Linked DNA regions of Coturnix japonica. The protein of the gene in region 5 interacts with the protein of the main gene of each other region in a pairwise test. Links are inferred from orthologs where the notes say so. Each region holds a gene or a part of one and is shown on either strand. Other genes may lie near its edges.

Region 1 (4,268 bases), on a different chromosome or scaffold from region 5:
CCACCTCCCCAAAGCAGGGCCAGCCACGCTGCCAGGAGAGCCGCCTGTGTCCCACTGGCTTCCCCACACCAGCCGTTGTCACGCCTTCCGGCCCTGTGTTCCCAGCTGTGTCACACCTCTTGTTCCACGTTCTGTCCCGCATCCCGTGTGCCATGTGCTCACACCGTGCTCCCAGCCTTACGGCCCGCGTCCCCATCGCTGTCCCCAGCCCCGCGTGCTACGTACCCAACCTCGCGTCCCACGTCCCAACTCCAACGTCCTCGTCCCCAGCCGTACGTGCCACGCACCGAACCTCACGTCCCAGACCGCAGCCCTTTGTCCTCCATCCCCACCCCGCGTCCCGTCGCCCCAGCTCCGCGTCCCACCCCCGCTCCCGTCCCCGGCCCCGTCCCACCCCGTGTCCCCACGTCCCTCCCCCAGCGCCGTGTGGCCGCCCGCCCGGCCCCGCCCCGCCCGGCCCCGCTCCCTCCCGCCCGCCGCAGGGCCGCGCCGGAGGCAGCCGCGGGCGGGTGGCGGAGCGGCGGCGGCACCATGAGCAGCGGCGCCGCCGAGCGGGAGGGCCCCGCCGAGCCGGGCCTGCCCGAAGAGGAGGTAGCGGGCCGGGCGGGGGAGGGGGAGCCGCCGAGGGCGGGCCGGGTCCCGGGGCGGGAGCGGTGCGGCCCCCACGCGTGTCCGCGGGGTCCCGTCAGCCTGGGCGTGGGGCTCGGGGCGCGGCGGGAAGCTATGGAAGTTGGTGGGGGGGGAGGCGGAGCGGCCCGGAGCCGGGTGCGCCTCGGCACAAGGGCTGTGGGACGCGGGGCGCTTGGACTCACGCGGGGTGCGGGCACGGCGCCTCGTCCCCCGGAGCGGAGGCGGCGGCACAAGGTCCCGTCGGGCGGCACGGCGGCCGCGCACAGAGCCTGGCCGGGGACGGGAGCCGGGACGGCGGCCCCGCTCGGCTCTCGGCGGCACCGCTCCCGGCACAGCGCGAGGTCGGTGCCGCCGCTGCCCGGCCGCCGCGCCCTCACCCCGAGTGCGCGGGCACGAGGACGGGTCGCGGTCACGCCGCGGGCGGGGGTCGGGGCGGGGGCAGCCGAGCGGCTCACCGCTGGTGGAACATTAAAGCGAGCCCGGGGAAGGTGATCGGATGCCTGGGGAATGAGTCACCGCGCTCCTCCCGACGGTCCCTTCCTGCCCGAGCTGACCGGCGGAGCTCGGCGCTGGGGCGGCGGAGCGTGACCGCGTCCTTGGGGCAGCCGAGGGGCCACGGCGCTGACCCGGTGCCCGTCGCACCGCCCGCGGCCGCCGCTGCTGTGCCGAGCCGCCTCCGGGCCGCTCTCGGGCGGAGCGAGGCCCGCCAGGTCTCCCCGAATGTCCCCGGGGCGAGGAGAAAACCTGCCGGGCGGGGACAGCGCGAAGGGGACGGAGCAGGCACGAGGCTGCGCCCCGGTCTGTCCGTGGGCAGCAGCAGAAACAGAGGGGTGCGGTGGGGTGGGCACGGGGTGGCTCCGGAGCACATTCACCACCCTCGCCTGGTGACAGTCCCGGGCTGTGACGAGGGATGGTGAGGGGTGAAGGCGAGCCGGGGAGAAAGGCTGAGCGCGGCAGGGTGGTGGGGCTGCCATGGGGGGTGTCAGCCCACTGGCGTGGAAGGATCCCTCCGGGAGGGGTCCCCAGCCCCCACAGAGGGGATTCTGCCACTGCCCACCCCGGCCTGCACTGACAGCATCTGCAGGGCCCGGGGAAGGCTCCAGAGCCACAGCCTCTGTCAGGGAGCTGCCCCGCTCCGTGGCAGAGCAGGGGCAGCCTTTCCCCACGGCTCCTTGCTGGGGAGACCGCATCGCAGCTCCTTCCCCAGCCTCTGCTTGTCTCTGGTTTTGGGCAGGGGGGAAAAGCCTAAATGGGATTTCCCCCACCACCCCCCTTCAAGCTCCTGCTGTAATCTGCGCTTCTCTCCCTGCTCACTGAGCACCGCAGCACTGGCCCGACTTGGCCGACCTGCGTTTGAACTTTCAAAGAAAACAAGTCATTACCGAGGAGAAGCCGCATCTCTGTGAGGCCTAATTTCGGAGGGTTTTTTTTCAGGGCCTTTATCTCTCTTATCTGCTGCGCAGCCATGGGGCTAAATTACCCGGAAAGTCAGGCTCGGGCGGGTTTAGCTTTCAGGAACACAGCTCACAGCGGGCACTTCCTTGAGGCCGTGAGCACAGAGCTGTGTGCAGGAGCGTGGCCTGGAGGCCCTGGGGAGCCTCCTGCAGGCCCACAACCAGCTGACGCTCTGCCCCTGCAGGTGAGGACCCTGTTTGTCAGCGGCCTGCCCCTGGACATCAAGCCCCGCGAGCTCTACCTGCTCTTCAGGCCCTTCAAGGTACTGCACCCGCTATGGGGCTCTGAGGGCCTCTGAGGCCAAATGAAACCAATGGTGCTTCTCTTCTCTCCCGCAGGGCTATGAGGGGTCACTTATCAAGCTCACCTCCAAGCAGGTATGGGCTGCACCGTGCCCCCACCTGCCTGGGGGCTGCCCTCACCAACTGCTGGGGATGTGGTGGGGTCTTGGCCCTGACCGCCCTTCGCCTCCTCTCTCCGCAGCCCGTGGGGTTCGTGAGCTTCGACAGCCGCTCAGAAGCTGAGGCCGCCAAGAATGCACTGAACGTGAGTGCTGGGACCCCCTAGGGAACACCAAAAGAGATGGATCCCAGTATCTATTACCCCGTGGAGACCTCCTGGGGAAGCCCGGTTCCTCCCCATCCTTGCATTGAGGCAAAACGCCGCTAATCCCTTGCTGGGAGCGTGGCTGCACGGGATACCGACTACCAAATATGGTGCTGAGCTCGAGGATGTCAGAGGAATGTGAGCCACGGGGCCATGCTCGCTGCCAAGCACATGAGGTCACGGCCACCCCAGCAGCCCGTGGGGATATTGGGACAAAATCCGAGGCTGTTTTAGCCCAAATGGCCTTCTTGAATGGGGGGCAGCACCCTACCACAAGATTCAGCCTAACTGACCTCTGCTGCCCTGTTCCTTTCCACAGGGCATCCGCTTCGACCCTGAGATCCCCCAGACCTTGCGGTTAGAGTTTGCTAAAGCCAACACCAAGATGGCCAAGAGCAAGCTGATGGGCACTCCCAACCCCAGCACGCCCCTCCCCAACACTGTACCTCAGTTCATCGCCAGGGAGCCCTGTGAGTGCTTGCATCCTGACCCTGGTCCGCCCAGTATATGGCCCTGGCAATGCCCCTTTCTTACTGAAGCAGTTGGGGCAGTGATACCTTAGGAGCTGGGTGCAGGGAAGCTTTTGGAGAGGCACGGCAACTGTGGTTGGGTTTGGAAACCAGCTGCTTGTGCTTGGGATGACGCAAGGGCAGGTGACGGTGGCCTGGGCAGAAGTGCAAAGCTTATACCTGCTGTCCACTTTCCCCTTGCTTTTAGGATTAATTTTCCTCCTTTTCCTGCAGATGAGCTCACAGTGCCTGCACTTTACCCCGGCAGCCCTGAAGTGTGGGGGCCGTACCCTCTGTACCCAGCGGAGCTGACGCCTGCTCTACCTCCTCCTGCGTTCACATACCCTGCTTCGCTGCATGCCCAGGTAATGGCACTGGCTCACAGCACTGCAGCCTTTCTGACAGGCAGAGCAAGAGGGAGGGAAAGGAGGGGAGCTCTGGGGCCAGCTGCCCAGAGGAAGAGCAATGGTAAATATTATTGCAGCCTCATACTTCCCCTGTCAAGGCAGCGCTGACAGGCAGCACCTGTGCTCCTCCTGGAGGAATCAGCACTGCAGCCACCGCAGCCCCAGGGTATGGCTGCACTACCCTTTGCTGCAGTTTTCCTTCCTGCTCACCCCCTGCCCCCATGTCTTGCAGATGCGCTGGCTCCCTCCCTCCGAGGCTGGGTCTCAGGGCTGGAAGTCCCGTCAGTTCTGCTGAATGCTGTGTAAGTGCCCCCCGGTGTCCTCCGTGTAGCACACCTGCGGTGCCAGCCAAAACTTGGGTAGGAAGGGGGACGTGCCAGCCCCATCCCTGAGCCCTGCCATGCCACCCACAGGTCTCGGGTGTGTGATGGCGGCCGACGGTCAGTCTTGTGGGTATGAACAGAGCCCCCCGGCGGCTGCTGGGCACGCACGCTCTCTGCAGAACCACAGTGTGCTGGTAAGGAGCGCAGTGCTCGGGCACAGGCTGTCCCCCCATGCTTAATCATCCACAGCGGGGGTGGGAGTTCCAACTGCCCTGTCACCCCACCCCCTCTCTGCCATACAGCTTCCTGCCCTATAGCAACACTGGTCACACTCCTCT
Region 2 (4,164 bases), on a different chromosome or scaffold from region 5:
TCTTTCTTGATCTACACAAAAAACCATCTAAAACCAGCGACTTCCTTAGGAAACAATAGCAAGTGAACGCTGATACGGAGGTAAAATAAGCTAGATATTTCCTGGAACCAAATGGTTTTTCATAATGAGACAGAGGAAAGTTGGCATAAGCGTACAGTGCTAAAGAGAGACTGAAAAATAAGGATGAAAAGGTGAGGAATTAAAACAACAAGGAAATATTGAGCTTATTTCATTTGGAAGGATAAGCCAGAAGGGCAACAGAATGTATTTTCTTCTATAAAATAAAGAAAAGAAGGATGATGTATTGACACCCTGATGTTCTTATTCATTTTTGTGAGGAGGGGGATGGCTGGAATATGAGCTGATTTGTCACTCAAACAAGATATAGTGGGTTAAAGCTGGAACAGAATGGAGTATCTGCTTCTTCCTAATGCTGGCTTATGAGCTATCTCTTACCTCATGATAAAGTAAAGACCTCGTTTGCTAAAAGAGGATGTATTTTGTGAAGCACAGGAAACACCTGTTTATCCTCAGTAAGTGGTTTGTGCTGTAAATAATAGTCAAAATTGGTCCTGATTTAAGCACTGAGAAGGTGCCAAGTTGCTATATTACTTTTATTATGTCTCTGATCAAAGTCGTAGACATCAGCTGGATCCTGCCATAGTTTCCTACCATTACTTTGATGACCACAAGTGAATATTGGTTGATGTGTTGTTTTAGCTGAGGAGTAGCTTTACAATGAGGAGCAGGATCCTCAGCAGAACCTGAGTTAATAATCTATGGGAGGGAATGCACTGATTAGGAACCAGGAGGGCTGTTATCCTAACATCCCAATATCCCATATCCTAATGGGTTTGGGTTTGGACAGCAAAGGATTTTAGTGGCACAGCAGGTGCTGCACTGTATGTATCTGTACCATTGCTTTTCTAGCAGGGTTGCTTGAGTTTTCCAAGTCTGATACAGGGCAAATGTGCAGCAAAATATGACATAATCCATTGGGAAAAGTCAGTTTGTAAGGAGTTTAACCTCTGAACTTCCTAATCTGCTTGTGAAAGGACAGAACAGGCTAAATAAACCCATGGACTCAGCTGAGCATTTACCCCATCATTGCAATGATGCATAAGGCTGAGATGGGGACATCACATAGGCCACTGCGGCCTACACGCGTTGCGGTGTGCGAACTACAACTCCCAGCATGCACCGCTCCAGCCGATAGTACTACAGATCCCGGCCTGCTCAGTATGGGCGGTGCCCAAGTGCTGCGCGTTGCCCTCTGGGAATTATAGTCTCTCCCAGCGGCGCGGCGGTTGCGAGGCCGCGTCTTTTGCGCGCATGCGCGGGGCCTTCGAGCCAGGCGGGAGGCGAGAGATCGCAGCGCGGCGGCGCATGCGCAGTGAGGAGACGGAGATCTCTCGCGAGGAAGGACGCCATTATCGCAGCCGCCCGACAAACACCACGAGAATTCGGCACCGCACACGGTAACCGCGGCGCCCCGCGGCCGGACGGCTGGGGCCGAGCTCCCGGGGGGCCTTAAGGCCGGGCCTAGAGCCTCGTTTATCGCAGCGTTCCCGTTCCTTAGAGCGTCAGGCCGAGCAGCAGGGCCGTGAGGCGGAGGCTACGGGGGAGGGGCTGCGGGCTTTCAGGCGGGGAGCGAGGGAAGGGGGGAGGCTGAGGCCTGGCCTCCTCCTGCGGCCTAAGGGCTCTGGAGCCGGGCCTTGCGTTCTGCTCGCCTCGCTCCCCTCCTGCCTGCTCTGTGCTGCTCTATGGGCCGGGTGTACAGCCCCTCTGCTCACCTCTAAACCGAGGCCGTCCCTCCTCATTCCCATTTCGGGTCGTGGGATGGACTGTGGAGCCCCCTTAGCCCCCCACTATCGCGACAGACTGCAGCCTTCTTTAGGGCAGCCCCCCACCCCCTATCGCGACAGACACTGCAGCCTTCTTAAGGGCAGCCCCCCACCCCCTATCGCGACAGACACTGCAGCCTTCTTAAGGGCAGCCCCCCCACCCCCTATCGCTACAGACATAGAGGGGGCTGCAGCCTTCTTGAAGGGAAGAAGTCCCCTCTGAAGTCCCCTCATTCTGTCATTGGGCACAGTGAAAGGTTTTTCACATCTCCACCCCCTGCTGCTCTGTTTGGGGGTGGGCAGCTCACCCTTAATGTTTTTCTTCTTCCCTTCGTTCTTATCTAATGCAAAAAGCAAGCACCGCAAGAATATTTTAAGTCCTGCACTGTGGGAAGTGATGCACTTGGAGTGAAGGCTGCGCTTTTATCCCGCTGTGGGGATGGTTTATTTATAGGGTTATATTTAGAGATCACCAGGGGGAAAAACAAAAAGCCCAAGGAAATCAATTGGGAGGGGGGTGTAACTGCAGCACAGTGATTGCTTAGCATAGAATGGGCTGAAAAAGACAGCAAGGATCATCCAGTTTCAACCCCTCTGCTATGTGCAGGGTCACCAGAGCCACATCCAGCGTGGACTGCTTCCATTAGAGCAGTTTGCAAAGTCTTTTAAAGCATTGTAAAACTATACTTCTTTTCTTTCTTCTTAACCTTGGGTGTAGTGCCCTGTTGACTGATGTCAAGGAGCAAACGTGCCATTTGTCTGTAGGGTTTTGGCTGCTCGCTTAACATCCATCCGAATCAGCCCTGCTTGTTTTCAACCCATTGTTTCACGGCTGTGATATGATGTGGGTGGGGAGAGTCTGAGCACCTGTGAATGGTTGTCCATGGGAATAGAGCAGAATAACAACTAAGCTGCACTGAAACTGGACTCTGTGCATTCAGTGCTCCTTGGCAGTAGTTCAGTTTTCACTACTACGTGCTGGGAAGGAAGACTTTTTAGTTCTGAAAGATGGCGTTGGGATTTTGGAAGCGTTCTCAGTCCATCTGCTTGAGATGAAAATATTTTGCAAGGTTTTTTTTTTTCTTTGGTTTTAGTTTATCATCTGTTACGCTGTAACAGAAGCTGCCTTTAATGACTTAATTATCCAGCCGTGGCTGCATGAATATAGAGCAGGTTTAAAGCTGTACGGCTCTTTGCTTTAGTTTGGGACTTGGTCTTTAGTTCTTATCTATTGAAGTCATTTTGTTTTTTTGCTTTCTTTTTTTACCCGTATTCATTCAATGTGAAGTGCTGCTCCTTCAAGTAACAATAAAAAATAAAATGCCTTTAAAAAGTCACATCAAACCCTTGTTTCCTTGCAGTTGTAGCCCTTGAAAAAGGTGCTGTCAAGTGCTTAGTTCTGTCTCCTGCTTGTTAGACTGCACACAAACGTGACACAAACCTTCTGGGACCTCAAATAAAGTCATTTCTGATGATATCTGGACCAAATTCTTTTCATCTCATTTCCTGTTTGTATAAGCATGGCTGGAAAAGGGGGAAGCCGTGACTGCAGGAGGGAAGCATACGTTGCGTTCAGATGCATCTGTATCTTAAAACCAAGACAGAATGCCCGTCTTCTGCCGTGTTGGCGTGGATTCATAGGAACCGTGAAGAAAAACGCTCCTTCCAAACACAGCTGTACCTGCTACGCTCTGCCAGCATACCTAGATATGCTGGTGCAAGCTTAAGCTGCAATCACTTTTGTTTGCTAGAGGAAGGAGGGATGATGGCAAACAGGTTCAGATCATACTGGTAATGTATTTCAGAAGAGCACAGGGTCTGTGTTTTCCTTCAGGTGATGCTCTTCATATATATATATATTTGTAAGAATGAACAGATATTATCCCTGGGTTCTAAAGCAGCATTGAGGTCTGTTGCAGGAGCTTGGATGTTTTAAGTGTTTGAAGGTGGTAAGAGACATGGAGCAGGTGGCTTGTTTTGCCCTAGATCTGATGTTGGCTGCTGTGCTTTTTTGCACCTGTAGCAGCATGGTTGGTTGGTTGGCTCTTTTTTCCCCCCTACCCTAGATCAGATTCTTTCAGTTGGAAAAATACAAAGTTGTGTTATTCCCTTTTTTTTTTCTATAAACTTCCTGTTTGAGGGAAGCCAAACACAAAGAAATGAAGTGTTTGCTCAAGTCTCCTTTAAACCTGAGCCAGCTGTCTGTAAATACCTGACTGAAGCGAGGTCTTGGTTGTGTGCATTGCAGAGCACTGATGCTGGCCCTGCAGTGCTTCCTGTATATGCAAAGCCTATAAATGCTGTAGCCAAGTCACTTTGT
Region 3 (4,213 bases), on a different chromosome or scaffold from region 5:
CTACAATCACTGCTCTGATGGATCACCCCTATGGATTTACAGCGTGTTACAACAGCGAGTCTCGTGCAGGCAGCAGCATCCATTTCCTACATTCCTTCAGGCTGAGGAGTTAGGAGAGGCCACAGCAGCTTACTCACAATTAGCAAGAACATTTGGTCATCATTTTCCATTTTAAAGTGATATATCTTCTGGTAATTAATCACCATAGGCTAAAAGCCCTGCAGAGCCTGCACATCCATCCTTGGGAGAAGGGGAAGAAATGAGGCATTTTTTGGAGGGATTTCCTTTGGAAATCAGCTACCAGGTTGAATTCTGTGGCTCTGCAGAGCTGTATGCCAGGAGGGAGCATTCACATGGGAGAAGGGACTCCTCCAAGAGCCACTAAAGGAGGAGAGTTTGGTGGGTAATGGGGGCTGCATGGGTACCCCACCAAGAAACACTGGTGGGCAGTGAGCTGCATGGCATGAAGCCTGACCCATGTATGCAAGGGCCAAGAGTGAGCAGCCCACCTGGACTTTCCCTCCCAGTTAAACCCACCTGCTGGTGGCAATCTGGGGTGGTGGGATGGTTGTCAGACTTGCATAGAATCATAAAGGCTGAAAAAGGCCTATAATACCACCAAATCCAGCCTCCACGCTCCTTGAGCATCTCCAGGGACAGTGACACCACCACGTCCCTGAGCAGCCTGCACTGCTGCATCACTGCTATTTCAGAGCAAGTTCTCCCAATATTTAACCCAACTCTCCCTTAGTGAAAACTGAGGCCACCACCTCCCATCCTACTGCTGTTACCTGGGAGCAGAGGTAACAACCTCCTGTTAGGAGCATTAGTGAGCGATGAGTTCTCCTCCTTTGAGCCCCATCTCCTTCACCCCACACTGCTTTATCCCGAACCCAACACAGGGCACAAACACCATCCCCATGTTCCTCAATCAGGGCATTGCTCCTCCGAGACCCAACCACGGAGCTCATCCCAGCGCATTAATCGGGGGGTCAACGGGCCCTGACAGGTGACAAATAGGATTGTGGGGCCAAGGACAGGGAGGAGATCGCCCCACAGCAGGGCCGGGCTCACCCCCCCGGGACAGCCGGGCCCTATTGAGGCCTCACCCGTAGGCCCGGCCCACCCCACCCGTCCCCGCCTCACCTCGCTGGTGCTGGCCGAGGAGGCGGCGCTGGGGGTCGGCGAGCGCTGCAGCGTAACCAGCGCCATGGCGGGGTGGATCCGGTGATAAAGGCCGGGATACTACAGTGGTTACAGGGATCCGGCCGCCTCCATCCCGCCCGGCGGCTGCGCAGCACCGGGCCCCGCCGGCATACGCCGTGCTAAGGGGAGGAGCGAGGGGTGAAGGGCGGGGAGAGGTGGGGGGCAGGACTGGGCCGGGCGGGGCCTAGAGGGACCGTGATTGTATGTGAAGTGTCCCATGGCTGAGTAGACCTGAGTGGGTTTTAAGGCCTCTTCTAACTCAAATCATTCCATGGTTCATTGATTCTATGAGAAACCAGTTGGTTGCTGTATCCACATGCCCCAGACAACCCATGGGGATGAAAGAGCATCCATAGAGCATCCGTTTCTAGGTATAGCATCAAGGAACCACATTATAACCAGGCTGAAGGGTCCCAAGGAGGTGCCAAAGGGATGAAAGAGCATCCATAGAGCATCCATTTCTAGGTATAGCATCAAGGAACCACGTTATAACCAGGCTGAAGGAAGCGTGAAGGGTCAGCGGTGCCAAAAGCAAGAGCCAGGCAAATAGTAGGGTAATTAGTTTAAGAGGCTTTGCTGATTATATGTAAAGCCTTTAATAATTTAGGCTTTTGAATAACTTTTTCCCCCTTTTTTTTTACAGCAGAGTGACTGCCTGCCCCCGCCTTCCTCCTGTCTGACTGCATTTCTGCTGCTGGGGACTTTGACATGGACCACAGTGACCCTATGGGCTTCCAGAGGATGGACCACAGGGCACCAGGGACTCCACCTCCTGGGTCTGGAGCAAAGACTTTGACCCCGTTGCCCAGCACAGGGTGCGTCTGCAAGCCCTGGACACTGATAGTTGGACTGCAGGGCTCCAAACAAGCAACGCTGCACTAAGGGCTCTACTGAAGCCTCCAAAACCCACAGAGAGTGCCTGGAGAATTCTGCAGGTAGGTCAGTGGAAGGTTGTGTTTCTGTTATTTATTGACCAGCTGAAGGCTCACGGGGCAGATGGATGCCTCCTCAGCTTGTCCTCAGGGCTGCATTTGGCAGAGGTAGCCCTGATTTCTGCTGGCTCTGACCTGTGAGCGGCAGCAGATGGGAAGCAGCACGGCCCTGTCCTGCTGCCCATCGTCTTTGTGACTCATCCTGCAGCCCAAGCAGGCGTCAGTCCTGCTGTGAGCTGAGCAGTGCCGCAGGGGTGCTGTGCTTCACCTTATCCAAATAAAACTGGTGTAGAATTTATAAGCTTGCCCCAGGCCATGTCTGGCAGCCTGGTGCCCATGATTCCCCAGCGCAGCTCAGCCCCTGTGCAATCCTCCTGTGCTCTAGCAGCCAAACTGGGATCACGTTGAGTTGATAGCAGAAGCCCACTGTCACCCTGGCCCTTCTTCCAGGCCTTTTCCTCACCACACAGAGCCCAGAGCCATGCGCATCGCTGTCATTGGGGCTGGAGTGATCGGCCTGTCCACCGCCCTGTGCATCCATGACCGCTTCCAAGCACTGGTGCCCCAGCTGCAGCTGGAGGTCTATGCAGACCACTTCACACCCCACACCACCAGCGATGGGGCTGCAGGCCTGTGGCAGCCCTACCTGAGTGACCACGGCAATCTGCAGGAGACGTGAGTTGGAGCTTCCAAGCCATTCTGTGATATCTATGCAGATTAAGGGTTGAGCTGCTGGAAAGGAGCTCTGCAAAGCGTGACCTGGGTGTCCTGGTTAATCATGAGGCAGCAGTGTGCCGTCATGGTTCAGAAGGCCAGTGGTACCCTGGGCTGTATTACAAATGGAAAGCAGGGTGAGGGAGGTTCTCCTCTGCTCTGCCCTGGGGAGGCCATATGTGGAGCATGGAGCCCATTTCTGAGTTCCCTGTCTGTCTTGAGCTGGGGAGCTGCTGGAGGGAGTCCTTTGGAGGGCTGCAAAGATGGTCAAGGCCTGGAGTGTCTTCTAATGGGTTTTTTCCATGCAGGCTGTGGAACAAAGAGACCTTTGAGCACCTCCTGGGGTACCTCAATTCACTGGAAGCAAAGGAAATGGGACTGTTCCTGATTTCTGGATTCAACCTGTTTAAGCAGCCTGTACCGGTAAGGAGCTGAGTGCAGGGGAGGCAGGAAGGGCCCCAGCTTTGGGCAGTGAGCAGGTTTGAGTTTCTGGGCAGGAGCTGGACAGCAGGGACATCTCTCACTCCTGTCCCTGCAATACCACAATTGATTACTGCCATTTGAGTGATATCAAACCTTCTCCCCTTCACAGGATCCATCTTGGAAGAACATTGTCCTTGGCTTCAGGAACTTGACACCGAAAGAGCTTGAACTCTTTCCTGGCTACAGGTACTTCCAGGCCCTTTTTCTGAGAGTTTCTGGGCTCCATCACAGTTATTTCCCTTAAAAGAAGCACGAATCACCTCAAAGCAAGCAGTAACAATGCATGAAAACCATTCCAGCTCCCTCTCTCATTTCACTGCATACCTTTAAACTTGGGAAGAAAACAGCTATGCAGTAAATAGGAAAAAACAAAGCCCTGGCTGTGCCCATGCATGGGGTAGGGTGCAGCCACCCTTGGGCAGCTGTTGTGGTCTTTACTACTTTCTATCCTCATGTCTTTCAGCTACGGCTGGTTCAACACGGCGCTGATGCTGGAGTGCAGGAGCTATTTGCCCTGGCTGACCAATAGGTGAGTACTGAGCCCTGCTGCTGCTTTTCCCTGGTTGACCTGGAGGGCTGAGCAGGGCTCTTGGCCATTAGGGAAATGAGCTAATAATGGCTGGAGAGTATTTAAGAACTGCTGAGAAGACCGTGAATGTTTATTACAAGGAGCAACAAGCCGTACCTACCCTGTGCATCAATTGCAGGCATTAGTTTGAATGGTACATTGGCTTTTATGTGCTGGTAACAGATGAACTTGCTCTTCCAGGCTAACGCAGAGAGGCGTGAAGTTCTTCCACAAGAAGGTCGAGTCCTTTGAGGAGGTGAGCTGGGGATGGTGGGGAGCCAGGATGCAGTCAGGCATCAGCAGCACAGCT
Region 4 (4,176 bases), on a different chromosome or scaffold from region 5:
TGCTGCTCTTTGCTATCCCTTGCAAATCCAAACAACACCATGATCTTCAGCAAAGAATTAAGCTGGATTTAGCTAGCTGGCGAGAGCCTTGACTTCTGAATTCTTGTGAGCAGCCCATTCCTCATGCAAGTGAGCAGGATCTTGTTGCATCACTGACGTTTAGTGAAGAAGCTGTTCTGTGAAGGCCCCTGCTTTTGCCAGAGGCTGCAAGGTCTCTGAAAGGCATTGCTCGAGGTGGGAGTGTTGCAGCTGGAGACTCCCCAGTGAAGGCATATAATGAGAGGATTTCCTAGCATCAGCCTCAGCCTTCCTGCACTAATCTTGGAAACTCTTAACTCATGGGTATCACTACAGCAGTAAGATCTGCCTTTAGCAATGTGAACAGAGTATTTCCTTTCACACAACTTTCACAGAATGTCTCTCATCTAATGAGAGATGGTATAAAGTGGGAAAAAAAAACACCCTACTTTGTTACTTTTGTAGCTTTGCAAATAATGCTTCTCAGGACTTGAATAAGTTGACAGGGCTGAAAACACTCAGTCTCACTTATGGGTAAATCACTTTGTCTAATCACTTTCATTATTTCAAAACTGACAGAAATGAGCATAACAAGTGCTCATAATAATAACATTCCTAAGAAATGAGCATTAAAAGTTTCCCATCTCATGACACAGACAATCTTTACATATGGCATACCTGGTTCATTTGCCATTGCTGTTCTGTCATGGCCTTAAATTGCACCATGGGAGGTTCAGGTTGGATGTAAGGAACAATTTCTTCTTAGAAAGAGTAGTGAGGCAGCTGCCCAGGAAGGTGGTGGAGTCACTGTTCATGGAGGTGTTGAAGTACCGTGTGGATGTGGCACTGACGGATATGATCAGTGGTATGGATGGGCTGACAGCTGAGCTGATGATCTTAAGGGTCTTTTCCAGCCTTAATGATTCTGTGATTCTAAACATTCTTTACCCACACAGTTACAGTAACATGAAGCTTCATTTTCAGCTCCGCCTGTATGAATTAACACCACCCCAGAGGCCAAAGACTCCGCACAGAAAGAAGCAAGGAGTGCACTATGGGGTGTTTTGCCTTTTCCCTCAGGCAGACACAGCTACTCTGTCAGACACAATTTAAACTGGTTATTAACCATAAAACCTCAAGTATTTACCTGCTGCTGAGGTGTTTTTGCTGAAATAACAGCAGCATAGGAAACAAGAGAGATGGGAAGCCCTGCATGCCTTTGCAACAGACAAAATACATGGTAGGAGTGCGCAGATGCAGTGTGAAAGAGGTTTGGGGGCATCAAGGGAACTGAGAACGGCTTTGGAAAGCATAGATGATCTTCCAGCCATTATTTGCTATCATCATCAAGTCAACACCCAAGAATGGGCTCAGTGCAGCCCTCTAAGCGCAGCCCATCTCCTTTCACACGCTGAATGGAAGCGGGACTTTGAGCTGTGTAGTAGCCAGTCCAGCCCGGTATTTCCACGCCCACATCCGAAGACAACAAGAAGCGGCTGCCGGTGCCCACGGTGCTGACTGCCAAGCAGAGCCGCCCCGCGTTCGCCCACACTTCCCGTACAAATCCGCCCCCCGATGGGCGGGGCGGGCGCTGCCATGCAAATCAATGGGCGGTGAGTCGAGACACGGGGCGGGGTGTTCCAATAGGACCGGTACTGGCCTCGACGGCGCGGACTGAACGACAGTGAGTGCGGCTCGAAGGGAAGCACGTTTGGGCTGGAGGTGAGTGCTGCGCGGGGTGGGACGGTGCTTTCCGCGCTGGGTTCTCGGTGTTGCCGTCGGTGTCTCGCTCAGCATCGGGCCCGTGGGGTGTGAGGAGCGCTCTGCAGTTTGGCTTTGCCTGGGAGTAAAGGAAACGGCCCCGTGCGAGTCGAGAGTGAAGTGTGAGCTCGGCAGCAGAGAGCGGGTTGGAGACCGGAGGTGTTTGGTTCCATCTGTGGTTGTGGTTGCCTGTAAGGGGTAGAGGACATCGCTGAAACGAGAGCGTTCTCTAAACGTACCTCCTGGTCTTGTCTCAGCGCTGCAGCCTGCTTCGCCCGTGCTCCTGCCTCGTGGTGCTGCCGTGCGGGCTGAAGGTGCTTGGCTTCATAGCGAGAGGTAACAGCTTGTGCTATTCCCCTTTTCCTTGGGCATCCCTGTGGCCAGGTCTGTGAGCAAGGCAGGAGCTAGTGCTCTTTGATGGCTTCCTATTAAACTGACATTAGTCTCTTGTCCTGCTGAGGAGCGTTAGTGATGTGTGTGTCTGAGATAGCAGTACTGGGGAAGGAAATGACTGGGAGAGTATCGCTGGCCTGCAGCACTCAGTGGTGCTTCTTGTTGCTTCTTGTTTCTCTGCTTCAGGTGGTGTTTTTGGAACCTTTTGTTTTGTTTTAAGCTGTTAGGGATCCAAATGGAAATGCGTGGCTTGTTAAGACGAGAATGCAATTTGGAGGACGCTGCCTTCCTGTTCTTGTTGTTTAAGCTTTTTTCTATGGGAGTGGTGAGACTACTAGAGGAGCACAACTTTAGTCAGAAGGAAAGGCAAAAGTTTTAACAGCCCGAAGGAAAACAGGGTGAAGCCTGTTGGTGACCTCTGAGGAAGAGGGCTCCATGGTGTTCCTGTGGAGAACTGATCCTATTTTATCCCATCACAGCTTGTTCAGTGTAACTCGCATATAAGTCAGATAGATGACACTGGAAATAAATAACCATTTCTTTTTATGAACTCCTTCTGTGCATTAGAGTGTGGTGTCTTTATACCCCATCCTTTGAGGTACTGAAGGCCCCACTGCCTGGTAGGTGGCAGCCCTACCTATGGCTGGGGATTGGAACTTGAATGGGCTTTAGTGTTCCTTCCAACCCAAACCATTCTGTGATTTCTCCCTGATCTTGTGTGAAGAACAAGCTTATGTCCCTCTCCTCTTTCTTCAGTCTCCTGCTTTCTAAACCCTTTGGAGACTGGTGAGTATCCTCTGGCTTTCCTAGCTTGGTAATGGGTGCTGGATGCAATATTCCAACCAAGGCCTTACTGATACCAAGCAGGGTACAACTGGTGCTTCCCATGCTACTGCTTATATAAGTAATGTGTGAGTTTTTGTTTTCTTTTTAACTTTAAATTAATTTAACCTGATAAATTTACCTCAGCCCCAGGTGCCGGCTCTTCACATTGATGCAGCCTTGCAGAGAAGCCATTCTGGGGGCACAGCTCCAGGCCTGCCCCTGACCATGCCCATGCTCTGTGGCCATGCTACACTGCTGGCAGGGAGGCTTCTGGGGAGCCAGCAGTGTGTGGTTCAGCTTCTGCTTTTTTGCTCTGCTGTTTTGATAGCTTCTGCTGATTGTGTCACCATCCTGCTATCTCATCTAGCCTTCTGCACACAGCGCTCAGTGCATCTCATTTAGGCCTTGTTTCTGTACTTAATCATGGTCTCACGGGACCTGACTTTGTGAGGCTGATCATGTGTGCAGCTTCTTCTCTATCTGCTGGGCAGTAGACAGGGAAGTCTTAACTGATATGGTGTAAGATTATTATTGATTAACTTGTATCAACAAAAGCTAGGGAGAGATTTCCTGAGTACTGGTGGCACTGTACCCCCAATTACATCTGTACCAGTGTCCCTGGTACTTTGAAGAGGCCTGAGAACACCCATAGGTGCTGTGTGGTGACTGCTGTACTGCTGGTCAGCATGTCCTGGGGCTGGGACTTTGCCTGCATGTGTGTGTGATGGTTGTTTCCTGGCTGAACATCTTTGGTTCTGTTAGAGGTGTGTAGGTTTTGCAGGAGAACCCAGAGCTCAGCCTCCTGTACTGGTCCACGTGAACAAACACCAATAAGACCCCTCATGTTAAAACACAAAGGAATTTTTTTTTCCTATAAGAATGCTTGATATCAGATTGTATAACCATGAGCTCTAAATGTATGTATACTCAAAAAAGAAAAAAAAAAAGCAGTTGTGCTGATTTACAAATGCTTGTAGAACACTGTGCTTCTGACTTATAATCACATGCAACCTCATATTTCCACGCAGATGTTAGGATAATGTCTTAATTGTGCCTAAATACCATCTGGTAGTAGCAATGGTAGTTACGTGCAGCCTGTACCCAGTTGTTCTGCTGGGCAGACCTGTGTCAGGCTTGTTGAGGTGATTCACCAGAGCAGGATCCACCTGCAGCACTCAC
Region 5 (3,792 bases):
AGGCAGCTCAGGCTGGGAGAAGCTGGGAAGCATGAGTACACTTCAACTGAGGGTGAACGTAGGAAGCCTCTTACCTTAGTTCTTTCCAGCCCGTGGTCACCAGCCAGATGGGGACGATTAACAATCTGATTCACGTCAAGAAGTCTGACTTTGAGGTGTTCGACGCTTTAAAAGTGGATTCCCTGGAGAGCTCCGAAACCTCAGGTCGGGGTGAGTTTTTGTGGCATTACAGCTTTGCATGTGCTATTTTCCACTTCCTACTCTGAGACTCACTGCTCTGGGGACAAACAGCTCCCCTTAGCAGGGGTGTGGGCCCACACACACAGAGATTAATGTTTGGCAGCATGTCCTGTCCCTGGCCTGAGCAGCTCCTAGCTGAGGCATTGTCTCCAAGGAGGCTGTGCTGGTGTAACCTGTTCTGTGCTAGCATGGTCCCAGAGCAGGGCTGGTGCCTGCCTGCGGCTGAGATGGCCATGTCAGACCAGTGAACACTGGGAACACATCTCTCCTTTCTGTCTGCTCAACTGTGAGTAAGTCATCTGATCTGGGGTAGAAGCCAGGTGAGAGCAGGATCCAGGCTATTTTCAGCAGCTGCTCTTGGTTTTCACACCGAGGCTATTTGTACTATTGCTAGCGCATCAGAAAGCTCTCTCCACTCGTGTTACAGCAGCGGGTTGAGTTACCACACAGATGCTGGCAGTGCTGGCTTGGTGAGTGGTGCTGGCAGGTAGTTCAGTCATGTTTCAGTCCAGGGTGCTCTGAGCACAGCCTGCCTTCCATGCTTTAAGTCCCGTCTCAGATAGAGCCTCAGCTCCAGGCCCTTGCCCAAGCCCAGAAAGAAGCCATCAAGCTTCATCTCCAAGGAGGTGGAACCTTCAGGGTGCTGGCTGTTCCAAAATGAGCAGGTCAGATGTGGATGGGAGATGCGATCTGTCCATCTTACAGTGACCACAAGCTCCTGAGGACCCTCACACAGGCTGAACAGCTTCTGTATCCTCTTTTGGAGCCTCTGTGTCAGGCAGTTGTGCAGATGTACTGCTTGCTGTGCCCCTGCGCCTGCTGCAACGGGTGCTGCTCTGGGGCTGGGTGCTGCTTGGAACAGGGAGGGGGACCCAGCAGTGCTGAGAGTTGTGTGCAGGGGTCCTGGGGTGGATTCCACAGGGTGCCTGTGTTGTGTCGGTGCATGTGCCACCTTACAGGCGTGCTTGGATACACCCACAGCTTGCCTGGCTGCTTGTTCTGCTGAGGAAAGTCTGATCTGTTGCTATATGATACGTGGCTAAGGGGAAACTGAGGTCTGAAGACCCCTCTGAAACAGAACAAGTCACCTTCTATTCCCTAGATGCTGTGGTTTCTAAATATGCTGAGCCTGTACAGCTGCCCCACTACAGGCTGATCCCAGCCTTCTCAGTACCAGTCGCAGACTGGGCTCATGAAACACTTCAATGCCTGAAAGACCCTGCTGGGTTCTTCTCAGCATCCTAGGAGCTGATCAGTGATCGAGCCACCTTATGCCTCTTCCCTTTAGACTTATCAAGTTCACCACCTGGACCTTACGGCCAAGAGATGTATGTGTACCGGCCTGAGGAACGCTTCAAATCCCCTCCCATCCTCCCGCCTCACCTCCTCCAGGTCATCCTCAACAAGGACACCAATATCTCGGTGGGTACCAGCACACAGCTGCATACAGAGAGCAACATAGAGGCCAGAAGGGGATTCCTGTCTGCAAGAAGCCTGCTCAGCCCTTAGCTGGTGCCTGGCCCTTGCTCTTTGTTGAGAAGAGCATTGATTTTTCTCAGTGACCACTCTGCCTTGTGCTGAGCCGAGCTCTGTTCATGTTCTGAACAGCCACCCAGCAGCTCAGATTGTCTGAGATGGCAGCTCCTTGCTTCTCATGCTGGGGGTCAGGGTTCTGCTATTCTCCTCTGACGCTTCTCTTGTCCTAGTGTGACCCGGCCCTGCTGCCCGAACCCAACCACGTCATGCTCAATCACCTCTACGCACTCTCCATCAAGGTAAGGGGAGGCCCCAGCGGCCACGGGCTGGGGGAAGGGGAGTGACTCCCAGAGCTCATAGAATGTGGACGGCCCTGGGGTGGTGATGGTGGCACAGAGGTCCAAGGACTCACCTGGGGATTGCTTGGCTGCCTGGTTAAACGTGGCATGCGCTGGGGTGTAGGTGGTGGTGATGTCCGTACAGCTCCCAGTTCCCTGTAGCTGCCTCCTCACAGCCTGGTGGAGCTGGGCAGCCCCGTGCTCTCCTGTCATAAGCCAGCTCCGTTCCTTGGCTCTTTGTCTTGGGTGGGTGGGTGGTTCTTGGTGGCTGGGCCAGCCCCCCCCAGGCCTATAGAGCGGCAGGGGCCTCTTCCTCCCAGCTGCCTGGGGGTGCCCTATGGCACTGAGCTCCCCACCCACTGCAGCTGATGCTTTGCCTCTCACAGGATGGCGTGATGGTGCTCAGTGCCACACACCGCTACAAGAAGAAGTACGTCACCACGCTGCTGTACAAACCTATCTGAGCCGGGGCCTCGCCCACCCCCCACGCAGGACACGAAATGCCACTTTGTCTGCACACGCTGGGCCACAGGACTGTGTGAGGACTGGCTGCTGGATCCAGCCTCTAACCTGGGGGGGGCTGCAACCCCCAGTGCTGAGCCCAGGCCTGCTGGGGCCGTCCTGCTGTCCCATTATACTGGTGTGGTTTGATTTAACCCTTGGTTTCCGCCCACCTGCAGCTCCCCTTTGGCTTCAGTGAGTCTCTGGGGCTGCTTTGCTGCTCACGGAACAGCTTTTCCTCGCTCCTGACACAGAAAGGGCTTCACTGCTCCTCTGCTCTAGACTGTGATGGCCCTGAGGCTGTCCTGGCACCGTCCACAGCCAGGCCAGCAGCAAAGTGACCTTTTGCTGCCCTGGTAATGAGCCTCCAAGGCCATGTTGGTCCTTGGAAGCTTGGGGAGCCTCAGCCTGCCACTGTCCCTCTGTTCCTCAGCCCTGGCTGCAGGGCTGTCCCGCTCCTTCTGCTCCCCAGCTCCAAGGGGAGCTCTTGGCCTCTACCACGTTCAGTGCTGAGCCAGGAGGAGGGTGGGCAGAGCTGGATGCGCCATGCTTACCTGCTGCCAGGACACCAACATCAAGGACTGAACGCCTGCCCCATCACCACCATCGGGTGCTTCTGGCGGGCCTGGGGAGAGCGAAGCAAGGCAGATACCCCAGGACCCCAACTACATCATCTGCTGCTGTAGCAGTGCCATGTGACAGGGTTTTCTCTATTTATTACAGTATTTATTGTTCTCTGTGCTGCTGGCCTGGTGTTGGAGGGGTGTTTGGGAACAGTGAGACCATTATTGTGCCACGGTGCACCCCCTGGGACAGCCACCAGGACCCCGAGGTGGCTACAGGAGGGGGCACAGCCGCAGGGACAGGTGTGCTGCAAACACCAGGACCCAAAGGAAACCTTTATTGGGGATTCTTAGGCCACTGAAGAGACTGAAGAGTGTCATTCCTTACATTTTCCTCCCATGCTGGGGCCTTGACATGCCCAGAGAGGACCCTGAAACACAGCTCCAATATCTATACCTCTCTCTCTATATATATACATACATCCATGAGCAGGAGCGGTTATGCAGCAAGGTTACACACAAGACTGAGTTCCGGGGCAAGAAGTGCTCGGCTTGGAGGGCTGTGACACCCTGCTCTGAGCACAGTGGGTGGAAGGGGGCAAGCAGTGAAGCATGGGGCAGGCAAAGCCCAAGCCAGCTGCTGCGATGCCAAGCAAAGGCAGGTGAAGGGCACA
Region 6 (2,603 bases), on a different chromosome or scaffold from region 5:
CTGTTAATAAAATTCTCGGAGTGAGTTTAAATACCTCCAGCAAAGCTCCAGCAGCAGTTAAGGTAGAAGACATAACTAAATCCACTTTCTATTAAATAAGAAATGTTACTAAATCTCATGCTAATGTTGTACAGAAAATGTTAGTAAAGACTGTATTAAGATCACAAATGGCAATGTAAAGTGACAGTAATCTGAAGAAGCGTATAAAATCTTCAAGACCTGATGTTAATTACACTGAATCCACTTCCACTTAATATTTTCATACTTCACTACAAATTCTGGCTTGCTGTAGTTTACTACTTTAGTTGTCATTACTTTAACTCCACAAATAAGGAAAGGCAAAGAAAAAAAGGAGAAAAATTTTTCAACGTAGCTGAACTAAAAACTTAAAATACCATATTCAAGCCAAAATTCTGACTCTTAGGCAGATTGTCTCAAAGGCTAAAGTGTTTGTTTTCCACTGAATATTAAAATTTACTTATATTTCCAAAAAGATCTAAAGTGATTCATTTTTCTTCATCCAATAAAGAATTACGATAAAACAAGAATTTGAGTTTCTCATCTCTTCCTTCACAAAGTGGAAATTCTTCCTACATGCCACGTTCCTAGTTATTTCAAGTTCTAGATAATAAACCATAATCTATCATACAAACTGGATTGGACTATGGATTACTGTCTATGGAAATGCAAAAGATAACAAAAAAGCCAAGGGAAGACTTAACTCTGCACATCTCAAGATAAACTAAAAACTTCAGGTTTTGATCAAGTTTTACAGAAAATGGGTTAAAGGGTAGATTGTTCTGACTTCACCTTCCTTGTACTCCTAACACCTGCTAATTTTACCAGTGTACAAAGGGAAGTAGCTCTGAGTTCCAAAACTACTTTTAATGCCTATAGACCACTGCTAACAGGGATTGTCTTTACACTTTGATTACAGGGAAACAAGTGAAAAAGAAGAAACTGGAGTTAAGTCCCTGTGTTACAAGAGAAGTAAAGAATAAAGAAAAAAACTGAGCACAAGAATCATGAGAGATCGCCTCCAGGAGCTTAAACTCCGAGCCAAAGAACTACAGACAGCTGGAGAAAATAGCTGTCCACCTGTACAAGAAGAGCAGGAAGAGTTTGAACAGCAGGCCATTATTTATGAAAGGGAACCTATAACTGAAAGGCATTTCCATGAAATCCAGAAGCTTCAGAACGAGATCAACAATTTGGTGGAGGAAGTTCAAAAATTCAGTCAACAACAAAAAAGTTTAGTATCTTCAATGAGAAGGTTCAGTGTTCTTAAAAAGGAATCTAACACAGCAAGAGAAATAAAAATTCAAGCAGAGCATATACGAAAGGGTTTGGATGAACTGTCAAAAACAGTGAAAAAAGCTGAAAGTGAATATGGGATATCACGTGCCATAGTAAGAATTTTAGCTTCCCAGCACACTTTCCTGTCCCGGTGTTACCTAAATGCCATGCTTTCATACAATGAAGCTATAACAGCCAAGCAAGAGAAATGCAGAAGGTTTATTGTTCGTCAGCTTGAGGTAGCAGGTAAAGAGGTATCTGAGGATGAAGTCAACGATATGTTTCAACAAGGAAAATGGGAGATTTTCAATGAAAATCTACTCACTGAAGCCAAAATCACTAAAGCTCAGCTTTCAGAGATTGAACAGAGACACAAAGAACTGATCAGCCTAGAGAGTCAGATCAAAGACCTGAAGGAACTTTTCATCCAGATATCAGTTCTGGTGGAAGAGCAGGGGGAGATGATTAACAACATTGAAATTAGTATGAACAACACTCAAGAATACACCCAAATATCCAAAGAAAAATTTGGACTTGCAGTCAGGTATCGAAAAAGAAACCCTTGCAAAGTAATATGCTGCTGGTGTTGTCCATGCTGCAAGTGACAAAGGAAATGACCTTTGTAAGTAGCAGCAGCTCCTATGCAGTAAACTGAACTTATCAACCAATCCCAGGATTCTCTTATTGCGTCATTTTTCTTCTCTTTCCCCCTTCCACACATCTACTGAGGAAAAACTGCACCTGCTTTTCCAAATTGAGTTCAAAGATTGACAAGAGATCTTCACCTTTGCCTAAATTTTATGGCTTCCACAGTAACATGTGAAAAATAAAAAGATAAAAGGAGACAAATAACACTCACTTGTTCTTCCACAGATAATAAGTGTCAAAAAAACAATGTCAACATGCCATCTGTGCTTTTGTGAAACATCCGAATTATTGTAAGCCTCAGAAAGAATACACAAGACCGGTTGAATTACCTTTTATAAAATACTATTTTAATTGCTGTGGGGTTTTTGTTGTTGTTCTTGTTTGTTCAAATACTCATATTTACTTGATTCAAATTTCATTTTTTCTTCCCCAAGAACTTGAAGTAGTACAAACAAAAGTAACACATAAAGTAGAGAATCTCAGTAACAATCAAGAAACCAATGCCTAAACTTTTCACAGTCCCAGAGTCTTGTGCGGGTTGGAAGGGACCTTAAAGATCATTGAGTCCAACCCCCAGGATTCGAGCCTCCTGTGTAGCAGAGCGGCACTTCTACCACTTGCGCCACAGGGGGATTCGAACCCAGGCCTCCGGTGTTGCA
Region 7 (4,106 bases), on a different chromosome or scaffold from region 5:
TTGTCCAGACCTGTCTTAGAAACCTCCAGGGCTGGAGATTCCACCACACCTCTGGGCAGCCTCATCCTCTCCTGTGTCCTCACAGTGATAAATTGTTTCCTTATACTCAGTCTAAACCTTCCCTGTTCTGATTTACGAGCGCTGCCATGCACTTATGTAAAGAGCCTGGCTCCACCTTCTCAGCAAGCTCCTCACAGGGCCAGCAGGCTGCTGCTGGGTCCCACTGTGCCTGAGCTCCCATCTGTCCATACTGTTATGCTCCTGCTGAAGCTAGCAGCCCCCTATGCACTCTGCTGGCCCAGGGCTGCCCAGTACCCCCAGCACTTCTTTCCTCCTCTCAGCCTGTGAATGCCAGCCTGTCCCAGTGCAGGAGCTGGTCCATCCCAGGAGCAGCAGTCAGTATTGCTTTGCTGCATGTCCCAAAGCTCCTGCTGAGCCATCCCTACAACCTGCCTGGCTTCCTCTGAATGCCAGCCCCCTTAGGTCAGACTTTGTTCTCTGTTTCAAGCACACAGAAATCTTTGAGGTACAGAGGTTCACATGTACGGAGGTACTGTCCTAACTCCTTCCTTACTTCCATCCTTACTACAGTCATGATTTCAAATGAACAACACAGAGAACCATTTCTAAAGAAAGGAGGTGACTTATTAGGAGAGAGAGGGCTCAACAGAGGTGAGTGGTTCAGGGCCATATAATCCATGTACCAAGGAGCACAACCTCTGCACTGAGCATCACTCGTCCTTTCTTTCTGCTTCTGTTCTGAACAGAAGGAATCACCCCCAGAACCAGCCTCATACAGGCATTTTATGGCCAAAATTCCTGGCTCTTCTAAGAAAAATACTTGCTGAACAATATCTGGAAGATTTGCCCATCTATGAAGCAAAGGCACTGGCAACTCTGTGAGCTATTGTGCACGGTGATGCTCTGCACAGCTCTGTGTGAAAACAACTCAGCACATCTCTGGATCCTGGGAAGTTTGCTGCACTTAACAGGAGAATGTCAGTGTATTCATCCTTCCCGTGTTGTCATGCAGCAGAGGAACAAGGAAGCTGATGCACTATGTTCTGGTGCACGTATCAGCTACAGATTCAGTAGGTGGGAAGCAGCTAAGGAATCTCCCCTGCTTATCTGGGAAGGGAAGGGAAGGTGTCTGCTGGACACTCACACTGCAGCAGAAGTCAGCGGTGCTGGCAGCAGGTGAGAGATCCACACAGCGTTCCTTTTTCTAACTGTGAGCTGAGGACAGCAACAGCAGAGCTGCCACAACTGGCTGCTCCTGCCCGTGGTCACTGCACACGGTAAGCACACTGTCCTGGCAGGTGGCACCAGATGGCACTCTTACAAAAGGCTTCTTTTTCTCATGCTCTGTTTGCAGGCACAAGTTGTGTTTGAACTACAAGGAGGGACCGTCTACACGGGTGAGGGTTTTCCTGCCTTCTGCTTGCAGTCTGTGTTGCACAGAGGTCAAAGGACTGGTGCCAAGACAGAGTATTATCACGGAGATAAGAGAATAAGCAGTCCTGGCACAAAGCGCTCCAGGTTCAGCACAGCTGCACCCACGAGGGGTGTACAGTGAATAGGGGAAGCACGAAGCTCTGACCTGCTTGGAGCAGACAGGGCCTTGCACAGCTCCACTGCTGCCACTCCCAGGCACGGCACTGCCTTGCAGTAGGAGCTGGTGAGGCCCCTGGGAGACGAGGCCGCCTGCGTAATCTCTTTCCCAGACCCAATGCATCTCCACACCCCGAGTGTGCTGCACTTCACATCTATGCAAATTCTGCATCTCTACTTTCGTCTCCACGTCGGAGGCAGAGCAAAAGGCTTTGGCTATCTTATGTGCAGCAGAGAAGAAGCGGAGTTAGCCAAGGGCTACAGCCCTCCCCTCCCTGCCCCCTGCAGCGGTGCTGTGGTGCTGGCATCCCTTATCGGGATGTCCTCAGGGATGCTCAGATCTGTACAGGAACAAGGGAGGATGCTCCCCATCTCACCGGACCACCCGAGCACTGGGGCTCTTCCTCTCCTCCCCCAGGGCAGAGGGGCAGCAGATTTGCAGCAAGAGCTCACCGGGACGGCACAGCTCCCGTAGCCCAGGCAGGGCAGCGAGGGAGGGAGCTGTTGGGTTTGGAGCTCGCAGGGCTCCTCGGGAGGCCAGGCAGCTTCCTTAGAGGTGAACAATGCCCCTCTGGTTCCTTGGGACTGGCAGCAGCTCTTCCTCCTAAGTAACTCTTCCTCTCGCCCTGCACTCTAAAGCAAACCATCCCAGCCCTATCGCCGGACGGGGACGCCTTGTCTCTCCGACGCTGCTCTGCCCAAGAAGTGGGAAACAGACGGGAGGGGGGACCCCATGTCCCGCTGCCCGGTAGTGGGGGCTCACAGCCCCGCGTCCCGTGGTCCCGCCGTGCTCCAGCGCTGCTCGAGCGGAGCCCCCCCGGCCGCGCTCCCACCGCCCCGCCCCGCACGCTTCTTCCCGGGGCCTGAGCGCGCCGCCAGGGCAAATAAGGCGGAAAAAAAAGCAAGGCGAACGAGAGCCGCGGGCTGGCAGCGGGAGATCGGGACGGGCATCCCGGGCTGGCCGCCGCCGGGCAGCGCCCCTTACCACATTGCTGAGGAAATCCGCCTCGCTGAAGTCGCCCAGGTCGAGGAAGCCGGGGCCGGCGGCGGGGAAGAGCCGCTCGGCGGCGAAGGGCTCCAGGATACTGTCCATGGTGCCCGCGGCTCGGGGCTCCGCCGCTCCCCGGCCGGGCTCACAGCGGCGGCACGGTCCCGCCGCCCAAGGGCCGGCGGCAGCGGTCCATGGATGGGGCGGCGGGGCCGGGTGGGAGCGGGCCGCCCGCGGGCGGGGGAGCGCCGGGGAGCGCCGCGCCGGTGCCCGCTCGGGGCAGCTGTCAGTGCCCCGCTGCGATGGGGCCGGGCGGGCAGCGCCGGCGGCCGGTAGCGGCACGCCCCCGCCCCGTGCTGGGGAACCGCGGGCGGGACTTGGCGGGCCCACACCCCTTAAGGCAACGCGGAGGCGGAGGGCAGCGCTCTCCTTCCTTCGGGCCGGGCAGACCCGCACAGAGGGGTCCGAGAGTCTCATGGCTGCGCGGTGCGGTGAGGTGCGGTGAGGTGCCCCAGGTGGGTTCGGCTGTGCCGGCCGCTCAGTAACTAAGGAGCTGGGCACCATTAAGGAGCTTTGGGAAGATTATGTGGCTTAGGATAAATGGGATTATGGATCCCCATCCTCCCTGATCCTTACTCCAGCCAATACTCAGGAAAACCACTTAGAATGATCGTGCAGAAGCCTCGATGTTTTGTTGATCTTCCCCTGCTTCTGTGGCTCCACATAATGGGTCCCACTGCTTCTTGGCTGTGGGTGTGTGGAAGAAGTCAGGCAGCTGTGCTGTAATGCTGGTAGAGACCCATTGGGAAATGTCTCAGTGCAGACATGCAGGCACGGCCAGGACCCTGTGTTCCCCACACACGGCTGTCACAGGCTCTGTGTCCCCATGCATCTGAGCACAGCCCTGAGCACACCTTGGCTGCTCCTCGTAGTGTTGGCCACATGCTGCTCCTGCACACAAAGGGCTTTATGCCCATGCACACAATGGGTTCTTTCAGTTGCATTTACTTTTACCTTATGTTTCAGTCAAGTGTGAAGAGCCTCTGGGTGAAAGGGGTCGAAGACATAAATTCAGCCAGGATGGGGCTGTACTGCTCTTCCCATAATACATATTCTTATGTATATGAGGAGGAATGATGTTTGGAAACCATCTACACAGAATGGACCCTCTCCCACGAGGGCCGTTTTCTGCAATCATTCTGGCTTTGAGGGCGATGCTCCCACCTCCTGTCCTGAACTAAACATGGGTATCACCTCTGTCACCACTGTTTCTCAACTGAGCAAACATGGGAAGGCTCTCTTCAAATGACAGAGGGATCAGGCTGCTGTGGTCTAAGGAGAAGATGTACCAGCATCTCTGGGGCATTCAGGCAGCTGCAGGATGACCACTATTATCTCTCTTGCCTATAGGTGGGTCTGATTCAGAGGCAGCCCCATGATGTGGCACCATGCAGTGACTCAGGCTCCTTTCAGCCCCATTGCCTCTGATTTTATACTTAGATTTAGT

The links.
Region 1: the proteins of PRKAB2 (region 5) and RBPMS interact in binary tests that used the Homo sapiens proteins (3 or more experiments, as listed by UniProt). The link is inferred for Coturnix japonica from reciprocal best matches to the Homo sapiens genes PRKAB2 and RBPMS.
Region 2: the proteins of PRKAB2 (region 5) and BANP interact in binary tests that used the Homo sapiens proteins (3 or more experiments, as listed by UniProt). The link is inferred for Coturnix japonica from reciprocal best matches to the Homo sapiens genes PRKAB2 and BANP.
Region 3: the proteins of PRKAB2 (region 5) and DAO interact in binary tests that used the Homo sapiens proteins (3 or more experiments, as listed by UniProt). The link is inferred for Coturnix japonica from reciprocal best matches to the Homo sapiens genes PRKAB2 and DAO.
Region 4: the proteins of PRKAB2 (region 5) and STX11 interact in binary tests that used the Homo sapiens proteins (3 or more experiments, as listed by UniProt). The link is inferred for Coturnix japonica from reciprocal best matches to the Homo sapiens genes PRKAB2 and STX11.
Region 6: the proteins of PRKAB2 (region 5) and STX19 interact in binary tests that used the Homo sapiens proteins (3 or more experiments, as listed by UniProt). The link is inferred for Coturnix japonica from reciprocal best matches to the Homo sapiens genes PRKAB2 and STX19.
Region 7: the proteins of PRKAB2 (region 5) and CREB3L1 interact in binary tests that used the Homo sapiens proteins (3 or more experiments, as listed by UniProt). The link is inferred for Coturnix japonica from reciprocal best matches to the Homo sapiens genes PRKAB2 and CREB3L1.

The regions. Positions count from the first base shown.
Region 1 is NC_029519.1:30,663,444-30,667,711, reverse strand, and holds the start of RBPMS (RNA-binding protein with multiple splicing), read left to right. Parts: upstream 1-1,468; 5' UTR 1,469-2,095; coding exon 2,096-2,347; intron 2,348-2,423; coding exon 2,424-2,462; intron 2,463-2,568; coding exon 2,569-2,631; intron 2,632-3,010; coding exon 3,011-3,161; intron 3,162-3,434; coding exon 3,435-3,565; intron 3,566-3,839; coding exon 3,840-3,902; 3' UTR 3,903-3,909; intron 3,910-4,020; exon of another isoform or gene 4,021-4,124; intron 4,125-4,268.
Region 2 is NC_029526.1:16,031,529-16,035,692, forward strand, and holds the start of BANP (protein BANP), read left to right. Parts: upstream 1-1,364; 5' UTR 1,365-1,478; intron 1,479-4,164. UniProt on the Homo sapiens protein: Controls V(D)J recombination during T-cell development by repressing T-cell receptor (TCR) beta enhancer function. Binds to scaffold/matrix attachment region beta (S/MARbeta), an ATC-rich DNA sequence located upstream of the TCR beta enhancer.
Region 3 is NC_029530.1:5,746,127-5,750,339, forward strand, and holds the start of DAO (D-amino-acid oxidase), read left to right. Parts: upstream 1-1,413; 5' UTR 1,414-1,577; intron 1,578-1,849; 5' UTR 1,850-2,141; exon of another isoform or gene 2,142-2,145; intron 2,146-2,588; 5' UTR 2,589-2,619; coding exon 2,620-2,813; intron 2,814-3,160; coding exon 3,161-3,275; intron 3,276-3,444; coding exon 3,445-3,521; intron 3,522-3,798; coding exon 3,799-3,864; intron 3,865-4,104; coding exon 4,105-4,159; intron 4,160-4,213. Other genes in the region: SSH1 (protein phosphatase Slingshot homolog 1), read right to left, coding at 1,147-1,212. UniProt on the Homo sapiens protein: Catalyzes the oxidative deamination of D-amino acids with broad substrate specificity. Required to catabolize D-amino acids synthesized endogenously, of gastrointestinal bacterial origin or obtained from the diet, and to use these as nutrients.
Region 4 is NC_029518.1:41,265,492-41,269,667, forward strand, and holds the start of STX11 (syntaxin-11), read left to right. Parts: upstream 1-1,376; 5' UTR 1,377-1,740; intron 1,741-4,176. UniProt on the Homo sapiens protein: SNARE that acts to regulate protein transport between late endosomes and the trans-Golgi network.
Region 5 is NC_029523.1:4,164,133-4,167,924, reverse strand, and holds the end of PRKAB2 (5'-AMP-activated protein kinase subunit beta-2), read left to right. Parts: intron 1-89; coding exon 90-210; intron 211-1,528; coding exon 1,529-1,662; intron 1,663-1,946; coding exon 1,947-2,015; intron 2,016-2,440; coding exon 2,441-2,518; 3' UTR 2,519-3,292; downstream 3,293-3,792. UniProt on the Homo sapiens protein: Non-catalytic subunit of AMP-activated protein kinase (AMPK), an energy sensor protein kinase that plays a key role in regulating cellular energy metabolism.
Region 6 is NC_029516.1:80,493,052-80,495,654, reverse strand, and holds the end of STX19 (syntaxin-19), read left to right. Parts: intron 1-937; 5' UTR 938-1,025; coding exon 1,026-1,901; 3' UTR 1,902-2,103; downstream 2,104-2,603. UniProt on the Homo sapiens protein: Plays a role in endosomal trafficking of the epidermal growth factor receptor (EGFR).
Region 7 is NC_029520.1:21,207,819-21,211,924, forward strand, and holds the start of CREB3L1 (cyclic AMP-responsive element-binding protein 3-like protein 1), read right to left. Parts: upstream 2,801-4,106; 5' UTR 2,705-2,800; coding exon 2,597-2,704; intron 1-2,596.